Diceros bicornis minor: one gene and its partner. The protein of the gene in region 2 purifies or fractionates together with the protein of the main gene of each other region. This does not show direct contact. Links are inferred from orthologs where the notes say so. Each region holds a gene or a part of one and is shown on either strand. Other genes may lie near its edges.

The links.
Region 1: the proteins of PAG1 (region 2) and FYN purify together in Homo sapiens (co-immunoprecipitation; 3 studies listed by BioGRID and IntAct, with this or other methods). This does not show direct contact. The link is inferred for Diceros bicornis minor from reciprocal best matches to the Homo sapiens genes PAG1 and FYN.

What each region holds. Positions count from the first base shown.
Region 1 is NC_080762.1:23,591,331-23,599,326, reverse strand, and holds the start of FYN (tyrosine-protein kinase Fyn), read right to left. Parts: upstream 3,009-7,996; 5' UTR 2,936-3,008; intron 1-2,935. UniProt on the Homo sapiens protein: Non-receptor tyrosine-protein kinase that plays a role in many biological processes including regulation of cell growth and survival, cell adhesion, integrin-mediated signaling, cytoskeletal remodeling, cell motility, immune response and axon guidance.
Region 2 is NC_080772.1:31,709,188-31,717,127, forward strand, and holds the start of PAG1 (phosphoprotein associated with glycosphingolipid-enriched microdomains 1), read right to left. Parts: upstream 3,004-7,940; 5' UTR 2,919-3,003; intron 1,079-2,918; 5' UTR 1,009-1,078; intron 1-1,008. UniProt on the Homo sapiens protein: Negatively regulates TCR (T-cell antigen receptor)-mediated signaling in T-cells and FCER1 (high affinity immunoglobulin epsilon receptor)-mediated signaling in mast cells.

The sequences.
Region 1 (7,996 bases), on a different chromosome or scaffold from region 2:
CTCATTGAGGGCAATGACTGTGCCTCGTTGAGTGGCAGCATAAGGCAAAGCTGCTGGCCAAAAATACATTTCTTCTTGACCTTTTTTCTGGTCACATGGCTAAACTATATTTCCCAGGCTCCCTTGCAGTTAAATGTGGCCATATAACTAGCCCTCATGTAAAGGATGTAAGTGGAAGTGACAGGTGTCATTTCCAGGCCAAGGCATTTAAAAAGTGGGTGCACCCCTCCACTCCCTCTTTTGTCCTTCTGCCAGCTGAAAGCTGGTTAAAATGGAGTGCTATGGGATGGTGGAGCATGGGGCCCAGAATCACTGCATGGAGGAAGGCCACCCACTGACCAGAAATACCCATTCTGGACTATTACATGAGGAATAATAAACCTCTTTTGCTTTTGAGCCATTAGATTTTTGCAGGCCTATTTGTTACAGCTTCTAACATTAGCCTCATTAATCTAGGAGCCTAGCACATACCAAGGACCTAAGTCACATTTGTGAAAACAAGATAAATAAGCCCAGGTTCCTTCTCTCAACGTGCTGACCAACTAATGATGGAAACAGACACAAGCCAAACAAGGCCTGCTGCTGAAGTTGGAAAACAAAGTCAGAGGCATGGTAATTTGTTTGGAGGGGAAAGGGTGGAGAAAGCATCACAGAGAAGACTTTTGAGCTGGGCCCTAAAGGTTAAATAGGACCCAAGCAAATCAGACGGGGTTGGAGATTCCAGACCCAGAGAAAGCATAGGGTAAAGGTACAGAAAGCAGAGTGTGCATTTGTTCACATTCAACCTTATCATTATGTCTCTTTAACTTGGTCAACATGAGTTTATCGTGCACTGACTTTCCTATCTTGGGTCTGGCATCAAACAAACAACCCTTTGTTTTTACAGTACACTCATCAACCCTATCGCTTTTTTTAATATAAAATGTTCCATGATGAATGTCCTTAGAAAGTGCAAAAGTAAACGTTTAATGAATCATAACAACTCTTTTCTAATAAAATTCTTGAAGAACAAACTTGAGACGGTTCTATTACTACTTATCGTAGTCAAGGAGCCACGCTCTTAAGAATCAATGACTTCAACCTTTGTCCTAAGTTTTGACATTATCGATTAAACATGTAATAGTCACTGGCTTGCAAAATGGAACATTAGGCCCCAGAATTACATTAACATTTCCTCTTTAAGAGGAACATCAAGCAGATGGTTTAAGAGTTCAGTCAAAAGATCGTGTATATCGTTTGCTCACAGCTAAGTGCCCCTAAAACCTGAGATGGCTAACAAATCACTTCCTCCAAAAATCTATGAGTCTCTTTAACTGAAAGCAGAGTACCCATGGGGCAGGGACTGGGGAAAAATGCACAAAGGGTGGAAAATATTGCAGTCACTTGAGCGGTGAGAGGAAAGGATGTGGGTGTCTGAAGCCTACCCTGAAGCAGGGAAGAGAAACCGTCTCCAGTGGTCTTCCAAATACCAATTTAATGATGTATTATCAATGCACCCAGGAACTTGTTTAAATATAAGGGCAAAACAACATCACTGGGCTGACAATTCATTTCAAAAGACTTGAGCAGTCCTTAGACTTGAGAGAAGCGAGTCAGGCTGCCTCACTCCTATCAAACACCAATTTAATTCGCTGATTCAGAAACAAAATTCTTCTGCTCCCACACCAATGTACCCTACCTCAGCTCTTAGTATCTATCCCTGAAAGGAGAGGGGGTTAAAACTGGGCGGAGTGGAGACTACCTTGAAAGTAAAGCAACTCTTATGACAGCTAGAATCATTTCCCCCTTAAATCTAAGGAACACTGCAGCTACCAGTCAACACTACCAGTCCATGAATACAGCAAAATGCCAGCACCTGCCACCCCGCATCTGGGGCCTTTTATTTTTTGGTAAATGTGGCAGGAAAGATTCTGAGAGAGAAGATCAACTGCTATATCTGAGAGAAAGGGAAAACGCAGGGAAGAGAAACAAGAAGCACAGCGCCCATCCTTGGGTACTTTGTGTGTCTCCTCTCTATGCACTGAAAGGGCTCTTTGTGTCACACACACACACACACACACACACACACACACGGCGAGTCTGTGTGATTTATGGGGGGAGGGGCAAGAAGGGTGATTTTATTATCCCTCTTCTCACTGAGTCCCAGCAAATCTCCGCCTGGGCCCAAGCTCGGTGGCTTCTTTCTGGCCCAGTCCCCTCCGCCTGTGGCCGCAGAGATAAGAGAGGGGAGGCGACCAAACAAAAACAGTCATCGATCTAGGGAAGTAGAGAGGAAATCCAGCGAGCAGGGAAGGGAGGAGAAAGGAGCCTGAGGGAGCAGAAGGGGTGGGGGGCAGAGGAAGAGGAGCGAAGGCTCCTGCACGGGGGACAGGGGAAGGGTGGGTGGGTGGAGGCACAGGAAGAGTGAAGGGGAGGATGGGGGAAGTGCAAGGGAGGTGCCAGAAATAGGCAGGAGGATGCAATGGGGAAGGCGACGGCCGCAGAAGGAGGCCGAGAGGTGGAGGAGTGGGGCAGGGGTGGGGTGCGGTGGGGAGGGAAGCAGCACGGGGCATCAATTATTAAGTGATTACATCATCCCTGACATTAAAACAACACACACAGCCCGGGTCCCCGCGGGGGGCCCCGAAAGGAGGGCGGGGGCGGAGTCTGGGGCAGCCTCGCCCCCAAGCCAATTCCCATTCTCATCCCGCGCCCGCTCGCGGCCGAGGAAATGGGTCCCCATCCCTGCGCTACCTCCGGGCCGCACCGCGCAGAGGTGTCCTCCAGCCCGGCCGCGGGAAGACTCCGAGCGCGGCCAACTCCCCGGCAGCCCCGCGGGGCGCCCTGGAGGCGGCGGCGGCCCAGAGACTGCAGCGCGGGGCCCCGCGGCGGGGGCGGCGGCCCGCGTCTCCGCAGCATCCCCGAGGCCTCCCGCGACGCATCCCCGGCCGCTTACCTGCACGGCGCTCAGGCTCCGGAGCCCATTCACATGGTCCTCTCCCCGCCCTGCTCCGGCGCGGCTGAGGCGGCTCCAGTGGCTCCTCGGCGGGCCCGGGAGCCGGTGGGCCTTCCGAGAGCGCCGAAGGGGCGGCGCCGGGTGTCCCCGGCCCGGCGGCCGGATCCCTCCCTGGCGCGGGCGGCGGCCGCCGGGCGGTGCAGCGCGGGCGGCGGCTTTGTGTGCGCCCGAGGAGCCCTCCGTGCGCGCGGTGAAGCGCCGCGCGCCGGGACGGCAGAGGACGCGGAGCTCCGAGGTAGCCTCGCCTCTGCTCCCGCGGCCAGCCGGCGGGCGGGTCTCAACGGCCTCCGGCTCGCGGCGACCCCTCCTCCTCTCCCGCGGCAGCCCCCTCCCCGCCGGCTCCGCTCCTGACAGATGGCGCAACTGCAACGACACGCCGCCGCCGCCGCGGCTGCTCGCAGCTACTCGCGCTGATGCTCCAGCCCCTCCAGCCCGGCGGAGAGTGAGGAGGGGGCGGGACGCACCCTGAGAGTGGCAGGCCCCGCTGCCCTATCAACGGGCCCCTCGGGAGCTGTGGGCGGTGACCATTGGTGTCTGGGACGGGGGCGGGGCTGCAATGGGTGGGGCCACCGAGTGGGCTGAGCGTTGCTGTAGCAGCGGGCATCCTGGCCCGCGTGCCCGTGTAGGGTGTGAGAGGGGATGCGAGGTTGGAGGAGTTGTGTGTGTGTTTTTGAGGATTGTATGGACTTGTGAGGTAGTGGGTTCGGGCGAGGGAAGGAGGAGAGAATATGAGCTGCAGTTTCTGCTTTGCAGAAGGTTGCAGCTGCCACTGCAGAAAGGCATCTGCCATTCTCCCCAAACCATGGGAACCTGCCTCGAGAAAGGGCTCTCTTGCCTTTCTGGTGTCTGACAGTGGGAGGAGAAATAGGGAAAGTGTTAGGGTGGTGAAAACGTTTTCTCTGATAAACTGAAGATTGCGGAGCAAGGTAGAATGCCATCTCAGAAACCTGGGAAAGTTAAGAGAACCCTGGAAACGCACGATTAATATTATTAATAATAATAAGGAGGAGGAGGAGGAAGAGAAAAAGCAGAGGAGGGAGAAGAGGAGAAAATTAGGATTAGTTTACTAGTCTCCTATTTTTGTGGACACACACACACATATATAATTATTTTCAAGCAAAAGTCTGGAGCAAGTGTTACTGAAATGGGAGGAAGAAGTTGGAGAGGACAGGCGGCCACTAAGGAATCTGCAATCATAGAACAGAGATTTGTTTGTATAGTTTTTTCCAAAATCATGTTTAATTGTAGCCATTGGTTGTCATTGGTTTCTCATGACACTCAGCCTTCTCATGTTTCTTCCTTTCACTGAATCTGAGCTTTTGCTCAGATTTTCCTTAGTGAAATAATAGCCAGTTTAGTATACAGTTGGGAGTGCATCAGTCTTTATTTCCTATCCAGCTTTTCTATGGCAGGATGTAACTTCATAAAAAGAAACACTTTGGCTTCCTGATTTTCTTTATAGGTAATTCCTGTTTACTGAAAGTTCTGCTTTAAGGCATGCTCAGATTAGTTCTCCTTAATGATTTTGGCACGAACCCTACCCTCCTCCCCCAGCAAGCCTAATGTTCTGAGAAATATAAGCAAGTTGGCTTCTGCTTCTATGCTCAAAATCTATATTACTTTTCCTGCCAACTAATTGTTTTAACTGTAGTTTAAAAATATCAGTCACTTTTGCTGACTTTTTTATTTTTGCACACAGTACTTTTTTTTTAATTGCTAACATTCATTAAACGATGCTCATTTTTATGGATGAGGAAACTGAGGACAAGAGAAGTTAGTAACTAAAACTCAATGTGATAGTATAGGGTAGTTACTGTGGCTTTTTTCCTCCTTAAGCAAAATGATAAATGAACATAGTCCCAAGAAATAGAACCACAACTAGGACTAGAAGATTTCCATAGAAGAGAATGTCAACTTCATCTAGTCAAGAATTGTTTATCTCAAGCGAAGGGGGTCGTCTTCTTCAGTACTAGCCTGCCATGGCTGTCCTAAGTTTATTTGAATTGAGATGGAAAGGCTCTTGTCTAGAGCAATGATTCTCAGACTTTAGCATGTATCGGAATTACCAGAAGGAACTTGTAAAACACTGATTGGTGGCCCCCAGCCCCAGAGTGTCTAATTCATTAGGTTTGGGATGGGGCCCAAGAATTTGCACTTCTAACAGTTCCCAGGTGATGCTGAAGCGGCTGGTCTGGGTACCACCAAAACCTTGAGAACCACTGGTTTGGAACCAGGCTGTCCAGTGTAGTAGCCACTAGTCACACATGGCTATTAAGTACTTGAAATGTAGTTGAGTATTTGAAATGTGGCTAGTGCAAATTGAGATTGGCTGTAAATGCAAAAGATTTATTGGATTTCAAAGATTTACCATGAAAAAAAGAAATGTAAAACATCTCATTAACTTTTATGTTGATTACATGTTAAGATGATAACAGTCAATGTATTGTGATAACTAAAATATATTATTAAAGTTAATCACCTATTTCTTTTAATTTTTAATGTAGCTAGAGAATTTAAAATAGCATATGTGGCTCACATTATATTTCTATTGGATAACACTGGTCTAGAGTTGTTTCTGATTCCAGCTCCACAGTGCACACTGTTGAGAGCACCTTGATGCAGCAAATCTCTTACCCTTTCTGGACTTTACTGTTCTCACACATAAAATGGAGATATAGTAAAACTGATCTCACACTACTTGTGTGAAGACTAAATGGACATGGAAGCAATTTATGCATGCCTTCCTCCTTTTTAAAGATAAACTGTCATGTACTCTCAGAAAAACCGCTCTTAAGATATAGACCTCCTCGGAATTCCGTGTTAGACGGAATTTATCTTACATGATATCTGGAGTAGGTTAGGTAAGGCACCTCACTGCTTATGGTTTCTTCAAGAGGAGTCACTTTTTAGCGTCTGTAACTCTAATAGCTTCTTGATCTAATTAGTGGGCAAAAAGAAGAGACAATGCAATTAAAATGACAGATTAACCTGCTCCCATCAAGACTTCATCCTGTTTTTGTAATTCTTTCCTTGCTTACCTTTTTATCTGTTGCCCTTCTTAAATGTAGCTTTAAATGGATTTGGCCTCCTCGGGAGGATTTGCTAATGGTCTGAACAAGTGTACAGAGTACTGTGAAAGATTTGGACACTCTTCCCCATTTTGATCTGCTATGCAGGTCTGTACAGAGACCTTGATTAAAGATCCAGGACACTGTCCCTGGACTCCTTGAGATAAGTCATATTGTCCTCTACATCCCCCCAATTTTGTTTTATTTTCTTATGGACAGGTTAAATGTACAAATTAGAAGGTAGGCATTGTTCTAGAATTTCTCTTTGATTTGACTAGTAATGGTTATTTTTATTTTTCTATTTCTTTCACCTTAAATTTTCCTATTTCCATCTGGGCTTTCTTTATTTTGTCTCAACTGAATTTCTTATTCTCTTGCTTTTAATGTAACATTTTCCTTGTTTGTATGAGTTAAAATATTTTCTTGCCTTATTATTACATTTTAGTTTTAATCTTCTCTTAAATGTCAATTCAATAACACCACATATGGCAAGGGTAAGAATCCTTAACATAGAGTTCTTAAAAATCAACAAGAAAATAAAGATGAAGACTCCAGTTGAAAAACACGTGTAAAGGAAATACATCCCCACATGACCAGTAAATGTGAAAAGAGATTCAGCTTCACTTGTAACAAAATTAATGTAAAGATATAGTTTTTCCAACTACCTAGTTGGCCAAAGACATAAAAGGATGTAGGGAAATGGATACCCACATTCTACTAGTGGGAGTGTTAATTAGTGTAACCCTTCTGGAAGACAATTTAATAACATTTATGAAAAGCCTTAAAGTATATACCTTTGACCCAGCAATTCTACTTCTGGGAAAGAATGGAAGAAGTTTGCAAAGATATACCTATGATGCAAGTAATTGGAACATTGTTTATAACATGAAAAATTGAGGAAAGTCCATTAATAAGGGATTTGGTGGATGGGAGCAGAAGGCCTTCAACCCTCCCAGCCCTGGCCAGGAGCCTCTCTGGATACCACCTCTGCGGCAAGTCTTCTTCAAAAGGGAAGAAAAACGGCAGAGAAGAGGAAGAGGAAGAGAAAAGGGAAAATTAAAGCAGCAAAGGAAGGAAAAAGCTTAAAGAGTTTTATTGTTTCTTCTGGAAAGATTTTCACAATAAATTTTAAGGGACAGAAGTTGAACAACAAATTAGTAAGTATGTGTGTATATATACATGTATTTATGTTTATACATATATTCCATTGTTTTTAAACTTTATATATGTAAATTTTCATTGAAAAGTATGCAAGTACGTATACAAAAGTTTTAACAGTGATTTTCTCCAAGTTATCAGATTATAGGTCATCTTTATTTTTTATCCTTTTCTTAATTTTCTGGACTTTTTGCATTGGGTACTTATTATTTTTTAACAGAAGAAACAATAAATATTTTTAAACTTTTTCCTTTCTTTGCTGGATTATTACCTGGTGTGGTTCAAGTGTTGGGAAATAGGAATTAGTCAACCTTGAGGGTCTAAATGGAAACAAATTTAATTTCATATACAGTCATGTGCTGCATAATGACATTTTGGTCAATGATGGACCGCATGTACAATGGTGGTCCCATAATATTAGTACCATACAGTCTAGGTGTGTAGTAGGTTACACCATCTAGGTTTGTGTAAGTACACTCGATGGTGTTTGCACAACAAGGAAATCGCCTAACGATGCTTTTCTCAGAACGTATCCCCATCATTAAATGACACGTGACTAGTAATCTTCCAACAGATCTCCTATAGGAACCCTTGTGGGAGTCTAACAAGGGAGACTTTCTTGTCATAAGATGGCCTGTTCCTTTCTTTTACATCCCAACTAGCTGTACCTCCCACTCTGGCCCTTTCTTACCTACTCACTCTTACCTATTTCCTGGCTCCACTCTACGCAGTGATGGTACTTGGGACTCCTCCTGTGTGGCTGAGCCACTAGAAA
Region 2 (7,940 bases):
CACTGATTCTTTAGACTAAGTTAACTAACAAGACACAGGCTGTTTTCCAGGATCTGCAGTTATATTTAGAAAGACCTAGAGGGGAACCAGAATGACCCTGAAATTGCTCCCTGCTCTCCTAAGAAGAAAGGGTTACTCTGCCCTGAGAAAGAATTTCTCAACAAGTTGAAGGAAAGATTTCATTAAAAGACAGTGCCCTATTTTACAAGATTCCTTCTGTGAGGAGACTGGGAACATTCAGGCCAGATGTACCCCTTCCTTTCTAGCCTGTAGAGGAACTGGATAATGATATATGATGGATAGGGGTCAGTCAGGTCACAATGCTTGAGGTCTGTAAATCTTTTAAATGGACGGACATAGCACTTCAAAGTCCAGGATTCATTATAAAAATTGATAACCATGTAGTAAACCAACTGCTAAAATCAGATACAGAACATCTTTGTGTTAACCTGTCGTTCATTTCAGTTGGATGATTTTTTTCTGGATTTAGTTCTGTTCAAGGATGACCCAAGGTCATTAAGGAATTTTGATATTATCAGCACAAAATGAGATTACTAATACCACTAATAACAGTAACAGTAAAACACAGCCTCATATATTGTTGTTGGTAGTGGTGGTGAGCACTGCATGGAACTGGAAACTGATGAGGCTATCCGATTATTATCTCCACCTCAAAGATGAGGAAAGAGATGGAGAGGGTAGACATTTTGCCCAATCTCACATAGGTATTACAGGGCAGAGCTAAGGTCGTGCCCATTTACTGACCACAGGGAAACACCATGTTGTAAGGAAGCATGACCACTGGTGTTTCGGTCTCTATGGCAGAAGACCCACGGTTCTAAATTGAAAACTGGACTAGCTAATACCCTTGAGATTGTCCAGTTTCAAAGCTATTTGCCTGCAGTTCTACAACTCAGAGTCCCCAACTAAACTACAGACGCCTGTACAAAGTTAAGGTAAAAGCAAGCTTGAATAAGCGAGAATGTAGAAAAGCAGATAAATGAATACCTTGAAATCCCTCTCTCCGCGCTCTGAAGTTGCACTCAACTGTTGAAATAAGAGAAAGACCTCGTGTTTTCTGGAAAGGAAACACAAGAGGAAACAATTTCAAAATTCTGAACTGAAGTAACACTGCAATAACTAAGGGCAAAATGATTACTTTTTCTTATTAAAATTTTGAGTAATAAAGAAAGCAGCTCACAATTATTTAATTAACCTTTAGTACTTTAATACTATAAAAAAAGAATGTTGAAAAACATAAGTTAAAACTTGCTCTTAAAACAATCACCTACCTATACATTATCCCAAATTTTATATATGGAGGAAAGCAAAAATGATGGCATTAATCACATGTGTTCTCAATGATTAATAATTATGCCCGTGCTTTGTTTTTTACTCATTGCTTCATTCCACCTCTTTCTCCCAGACACTGACGGTAACTATGGGTTAGCACCACACACCTCAAACATGGACCCTTTGAGTTGTGCAAGGTACCCTCGATTGCATACCTCAAGAAGATGACAGCCTTGCCAGAACAAAGATGGCTGGAACAAAACCGTACAGAATTGTGTAATAACTGCTATAATAGACTTAGCCATATTATTTTATGTCTTTACCTTGAAACATGCTATATTTTTGTTAGCATGGTTTTCTATGCTTAAGATAAAACTGTATCACTTACAAAGATCACTTCCTCCGAGAGGATGTGTGATTCAAGTTTGAGGAATGTAATCTCAAATCTAAAACTCTGTTTTTGTAGATTGTGTATCTAAGAAGGCATCTTAAAATATGCTAAGTGGAAGTAAAAAGCGAAAGAATGATCCAACAACTAGACTCAATGTTCTCAGAAAAATTATCCACTGAGGTAAACCAATGCAATTTTTTTTCTTTTTTGGTAAAGATTAAAGGGGAAAAGAAAGTTATTTCTTGGAAAGGAATGAAAAACAAAGCAATGCTAGAAAGACCAAAGAGAAAGAGTAAAGTTGACAACAAGCAGGATTGTGGTCCCTCCATGACCTGCCATGTCAGACTCTCCAGTGGCCAGCAAGATGAGAGCTCCCCAACCCCCATCCCACCTCATGAGGCCCCTGCCCACATGCTCGAAGAGCCTCCTGGATGTGAGCTCCAAGAGAAAAGTGCAGTAGAAGGCGAAGGAGAGTTACATGTCAGGGAAGGAGGAGAGGGGTAAAGACCACATTTGCCAAGAGTCCACTTTCAACAAAGAGAGGCAATGGAAATTCTCTTCTCCTTGCCTTTCACTGGGAAATCCCCCATTCTGAACCACTAAGCATTTCAGCTCAGCAACACTGTGGGTTCTGGAAGGTTTCCACAGCAGCCTGAAAACCCAGCATTTATAAAACCAGGAAGATATATTTCAAGCTCTAAACTACTGCGTCAGAGTCAAGTGTTTGGGATTAGCACCTGTTCAAAAGTGGAGATGTCACTATTTTGAGATGCTGCAAAATCTGTCTAATAAATGCTTACTGATAAACCTCTGTGCTGCACAAAAGCAAAGGTGGTAAGGCCCAGTTCAGGAGACCAACTGACCAATATATATGATATAGAGAGACATAAATAATAACAGAAGTATGCAGAGTGACTACAGTACAGAAAGAGCGTGAGAGCCCCATACACACAGCTCTCTGCAGCTCTTGAGATAAAACCCAAGCCACTTGGCATGGTTTGACAAGCTCCCCGTCATGGCGCCTGCTTATCCTGGCAGCATCATATCTCATCATCTGTCCCATCATCGTCATCTCCCATCCGGCGTTCTCCATGCCTCTGCCACGTTGTTTGTTTGCTTGTTTTTTTTTAAGAGGCTAAACAACTAATATAGAAATGAGTATCTCATAAAGCAGCTGTTTCTAAGCTGGAAACCGTCTGTAGTGTGCTTATTAAGAGTAAGTGGATCCTGGTACCTGGTAGGTAGGTCCTCCAACCTTTCCCAACCTGGGTCCTCAGCCTGTCACATCCTTCTCAATCTTCTCCTTCTTTTACAGACTGGAAGAAGAAATAAACTGTAAACACCAGTGTAAAGTATAGAGCATTAGCATTTTGGGTTGCATAGTTCTTTGTTTTGAGGGACTAGCATTCCCCCCCCAGCTGTGACAACCCAAAATGTCTCCAGATTTTGACAAATGTCCCCTAAAGGGCAAACTCACCCTCGGTTGAGAATCACTGGTCTAAAATGAATGATGACTTATTAAAACATAATAATATTTATAATCTAACTTCCAGAATATGCAAAAAGACAGCAATCTGGATGGGGACCATCCAAAAAGGCACAGATGGGGGAGAAGAGAGGAGGGAAGGCACACGTATTGAGCACCTGCTGTATTCTTGGCCCTGTGTGAGGTCTCATCTAATACTCAGACCTCATGTACCTCCAGAATCAGAATCCTCATTTTTTGTTTTTTTTTTGAGGAAGATTGGTCCTGAGCTAACATCTGTTGCCAAGCTTCCTCCTTTTTTTCCCTTTTTTCTCCCCAAAGCCCCAGTAGATAGTTGTATGTCATAGTCGTACATCCTCTAGTGCTTCTATGTGGGACACTGCCACAGCACAGCTTGACGAGCCGTGCATAGGTCCACACCCAGGATCTGAACCGGTGAACCCCAGGCCGCTGAAGCAGAACACGCGAACCCAACCGCCACACCACTGGGCTGGCCCTCCAGAATCCTCATTTTAGCAGATGACTCACGGGCAAACTCAATTTGAGGAAGAACTGGCTTACATTTGAGCCAAGTTGGCTCAACCTCCACCCTACCAGAAGCCGCAGGCACCCTATAAAAGGTGCCATTGAATAGGTTTCTGAGGTTAGGGACTTCCCTGGGGCTCTGCTTCCTATCCCCCACTTTAAACGGCTCATTTTGGCTTCTTGGTTTCCATCCAGCTGCCTCACGCCCTTGCTCTGTCCGCCTTGCAGCCTTACGATATAGCTAGCAGGCTTCCGATTCCATTTACTAAAGAATGCTGCCCCTCCGAGCCCCTCGCTCGTATTCTCACCCTGTCTGTAGGCAAACGGCATCCCTTAGCTTTCTAAGAGCGAGTTCCAGATAGCCCCCTCCGCTCTCGTTGTCTTCGAGAGGGCAACCAGATACTTAATTCCCTAGATCCAGCCTGCATAATTCCACGTGCTCACATAGATCTATTACCAGGCACTAACGCAAAATATATAGTATTGTCATTGTGGCTTTTAAAGGTTTAGCTTCCTGCAATAATAACTACTCACGGTTTTATATCTTCTGTAATATGAGCAGACTGCTTTCACTCTTGATAGTTAATTTCATAAAACAAGGAAAACAACAGCTGTATCCAACATGACAGAATGAAAGATGAGGTTGAGCCTAATTAATGCAGGCTTTGCTTCAATAACAGCTTTATTCTCAATAAACAGAGTGTGACATTTTCATTAACTCAGATACAAACTCCCGTACAAATACTCGCACATGAAATACTATAAAAATACCAAATTTAGACTCTCTCGCTCTTCTCTTTCAAGACCCAAATGATTTCAGATGCTGGCACTTGTAATAGTTTTATTATGATTACTAATAATTACCAGTTATGAATCTTGCTATTTGCAGGCCGTGTGCTACAAATTCCATACATCCTCGTCTCATGTAATGCTCATGAGAAATCCAAGGGACCTGGACTATTGTTATGCTGGTTCTACAGATGGGGAAACTGAGGCTTGGAAAGGTTAAGTAGCTCAGCCAGTGAGTGGTGGAGCCAAGTTTCAAACCCAAGCGTACTTGACTCCAAGCAGCACCTCATTCACACACATCATTTTTGATAACACACAGGTGTCCCCTAAGAGCGTGCCCATGTATAGTTTTCTCTGTATCCTTGCATCCCTAAGCATATACACAGCCACTACTATTATTAATATTAATATTATATGTGCCTACTTGAATCAAGAAGGTATAAACCAATGGTCTCTAATCCCATAATTGGGAAACATTTGATTCAGACACCCTTGGTTAGACGCAAATATTATCCAGATCTGTGATAATTCTTTTAGCTGTTTCTCACCTAGAATAACTTAATAAGCTAAGCCAGTTTGGCATCACTCTGTTAAACTGGGATATGGTTATAACAAACCTGCTCATCACCATGGGTACCTGAATGCAATCTCTGGTGGGTGGGTGGCCTGGCCTCCAAGAACAGAATCTGTTCTGCCGGCAAGAGAAAATGCTAGCAATGTCCACTCATCTGATCCCTTCCTCCACCAAGGCAGCTGAGCCCTTGGGTCAGTTCAGCAAGTGAACAGAGGAAAGAGAAACAAATTCAAAACCTCCTGTGTGAGTTAAGTACCATGAGACTTCGGACACACCAGTTTACTGCCCACAATTCAGAGATAACAATGTCTGGCCCTGCCTCCTCTGGTGCCCAAGGATAGCATGTGGATGACTTGATGGGCCCAAGGCCCTTGGGTAGGAAGAGCTGAGGTTAATGAACCTATGTCCACATTCACAGCGTTGAGCAACATAAAATCAGGCCAACACACCTGCACATGGCAATTAGAGTTAGGTATGTGGGGCTGATGAAATATTTCTTTTGAAGTTAGTGAGGCCAAAATAAACAAACAACAACAATAACAACAACAAAAGAAGCCTCAGAAACTGATCTTCCCATTCCCCACCCCCATCTGTAAAATAGAAACAGAAACCTCTTGTTTTTAAGTAAAAATTGCAGGGCAATCTTTTCGGTTTCCCAGATTTTAAAAGGAACAAAAGCTGTAAGAAAATAAATATTCTAAGGCCCACGCTAAATTCATAAGCTTTTTACTTTAATATGTTCTGCATCTGGATGAATATTTATCACTCACTATTTATTACTGCCTCAATATTTATTACTGTCTCTATGCCTATTTCTCTCTCTGTCTTAGGTTGTCAAGTCTGATAAGGCAGGGACCAAATCTATTTAGTCCTTTTTGTAAAGCATGTGAAACTGTTATGCATAATTAGGCACTTAAAGGGTTTTTGATGAAGATGATTATGAAGAATCAGAATAGTTAATACCATGGTGGCATGTTTCCTGGAACCTTCCTGTCTTTCTGAAATATCAGATGAGCAGACTCGCATAGAATGGTAGAGCTAATGGAAGCTTGGGCCTAGAGATCATGAAGAGCTGGCTAAACCTGTGGTCTGTGGCCGGGCAGCATCAGCGTCATCCAGAAGTTTGTTAGAAAGGCAAATCTCGGGCACCACCCAGACCTACTCAATCAGAATCTGCAGGTGAACAGGATGCCCAGGCGATCTGTAGGCACATCAAGGTCTGAGAAGCACAGACTAGAGAACCATCTAGTTCAAGGACTTCAGAAGAACTGTGGCTTGTACCTTCTGACCTCAAATTTCCACCTCCTCTTGCTCCTTCAGGAATATTCCTCCTTAAATTATTCTTCGGTGGGTCTCCAGAATTAAACTGCAAATCAGTAACAATCGCCAGCTTGCCAAGAACACCGGTCGTTTCTGTTTGCCAGAGAGGCCTTTATTCTTTCAACATCTTGAATACACACACAAGATGCTGGAAATAGAAATCCAGAAACCCATCTTCCAGTAGCGGGCTTGCTCACTACACACAGCCAAAGAGGAGAGACCACACCGTGATGGTGTGTGGAACCGGACACCACGACTCTTGGCTGAGACCTGGATCCCACATTTTGCACATTTCAGGCCCAGTGACGCAGCCCAGGCTGCCCGTCACCTTTCATTTCTATTTCCTACTTTCACTAAATGCTCCTAAGTCCTGACTCACACACGGCTCTGCCCTGGAGTTCTAGAGTCCCACCAGATGAACATAATTCAAACCTTTAAGGATATGCATTCCAAGAAGAAGAAAAAAACAGAACTATTTGAAAACTCTTAAAAACGTCTTTGAATTGCTGTTGATATGCTGGTTTGTCACTGCATCTTTTAAACCAGTTCCCTCCACGACTTCCCTGCCCAGCCATATTATAGACTTCCTATACAGATTAGGAGTCATCGATTTGTAATTAGAAGAATTTTATTTGGGTTTTTCCCCTAGACTTCAGCCACAAAATGTAGTTAGTAAAGAACGTTCAATGATATTCAAATTCCATCACTGTTGTGTCACTTGTATTTTCCAAAAGGCTGAAAAGGACTGATGTGCATCTTAATCAGGTCTGCATATGGCAGACATCTGTCTTGACTCATATTTGAATACCAGCTGGTACCCTCCCAAGATATGGTCACTTTTCTGGAAAAAATATTAATTTCTCCAGGTATGAAAAGATTGGCTATACTTGTTCCCACAACCGTACGTTTTTTCCTGCACATTTAGAAATCAGAAAGGAATTTGTTGGACATTAAAAGAAAAGCACTGCAATGAAGAAAGGATGTTTTAAGAACACAAAAGATTAATTGAGGCAATAATTCTAGGTTTGGCGTAAAAGTTTGAAAGAATGTTGAAAATTTTGCTGAAAGCACATTGTTTAGATTAGCTAGAGACAAAGACTGACCTATGTTGTGGGTACCACTTCCTAAACAAACCTTGAGAGAGCACCGTATCAGAGAGAGCCAGAAGGGCACAGACTTACTCTAGAGCACTCTCCTCTGCCTCAAGGCAACATCCGTTATAAGAGAACGTCAGCCCATCTTTTGGGGGTACAAAGTACCTCAGAAAAGATCAGAAAAGATGAAGAAAAAAAAGGACGAGGAGAAGATACTGCTGAACGGCACATCCCAGGAAGCCTACCATGAATTGGCTGAAGTATCAGGTTTTAGGAAAACTTCACTGCATCTTTGGGGTTGTGTTAAATCGCCTATTAAGCACTTAGAACAGGGCCTACCTGGCGTATAGTAAGTGGAAAGTAAAATCTGCCAGCACTGGATTCACATTACCAAATTCTCAAAAAGCAGCAACTGAATGAAATTATTTAGCTGCTGCCCTTTAGATGAGGCATGAACTCCCTGCTTGC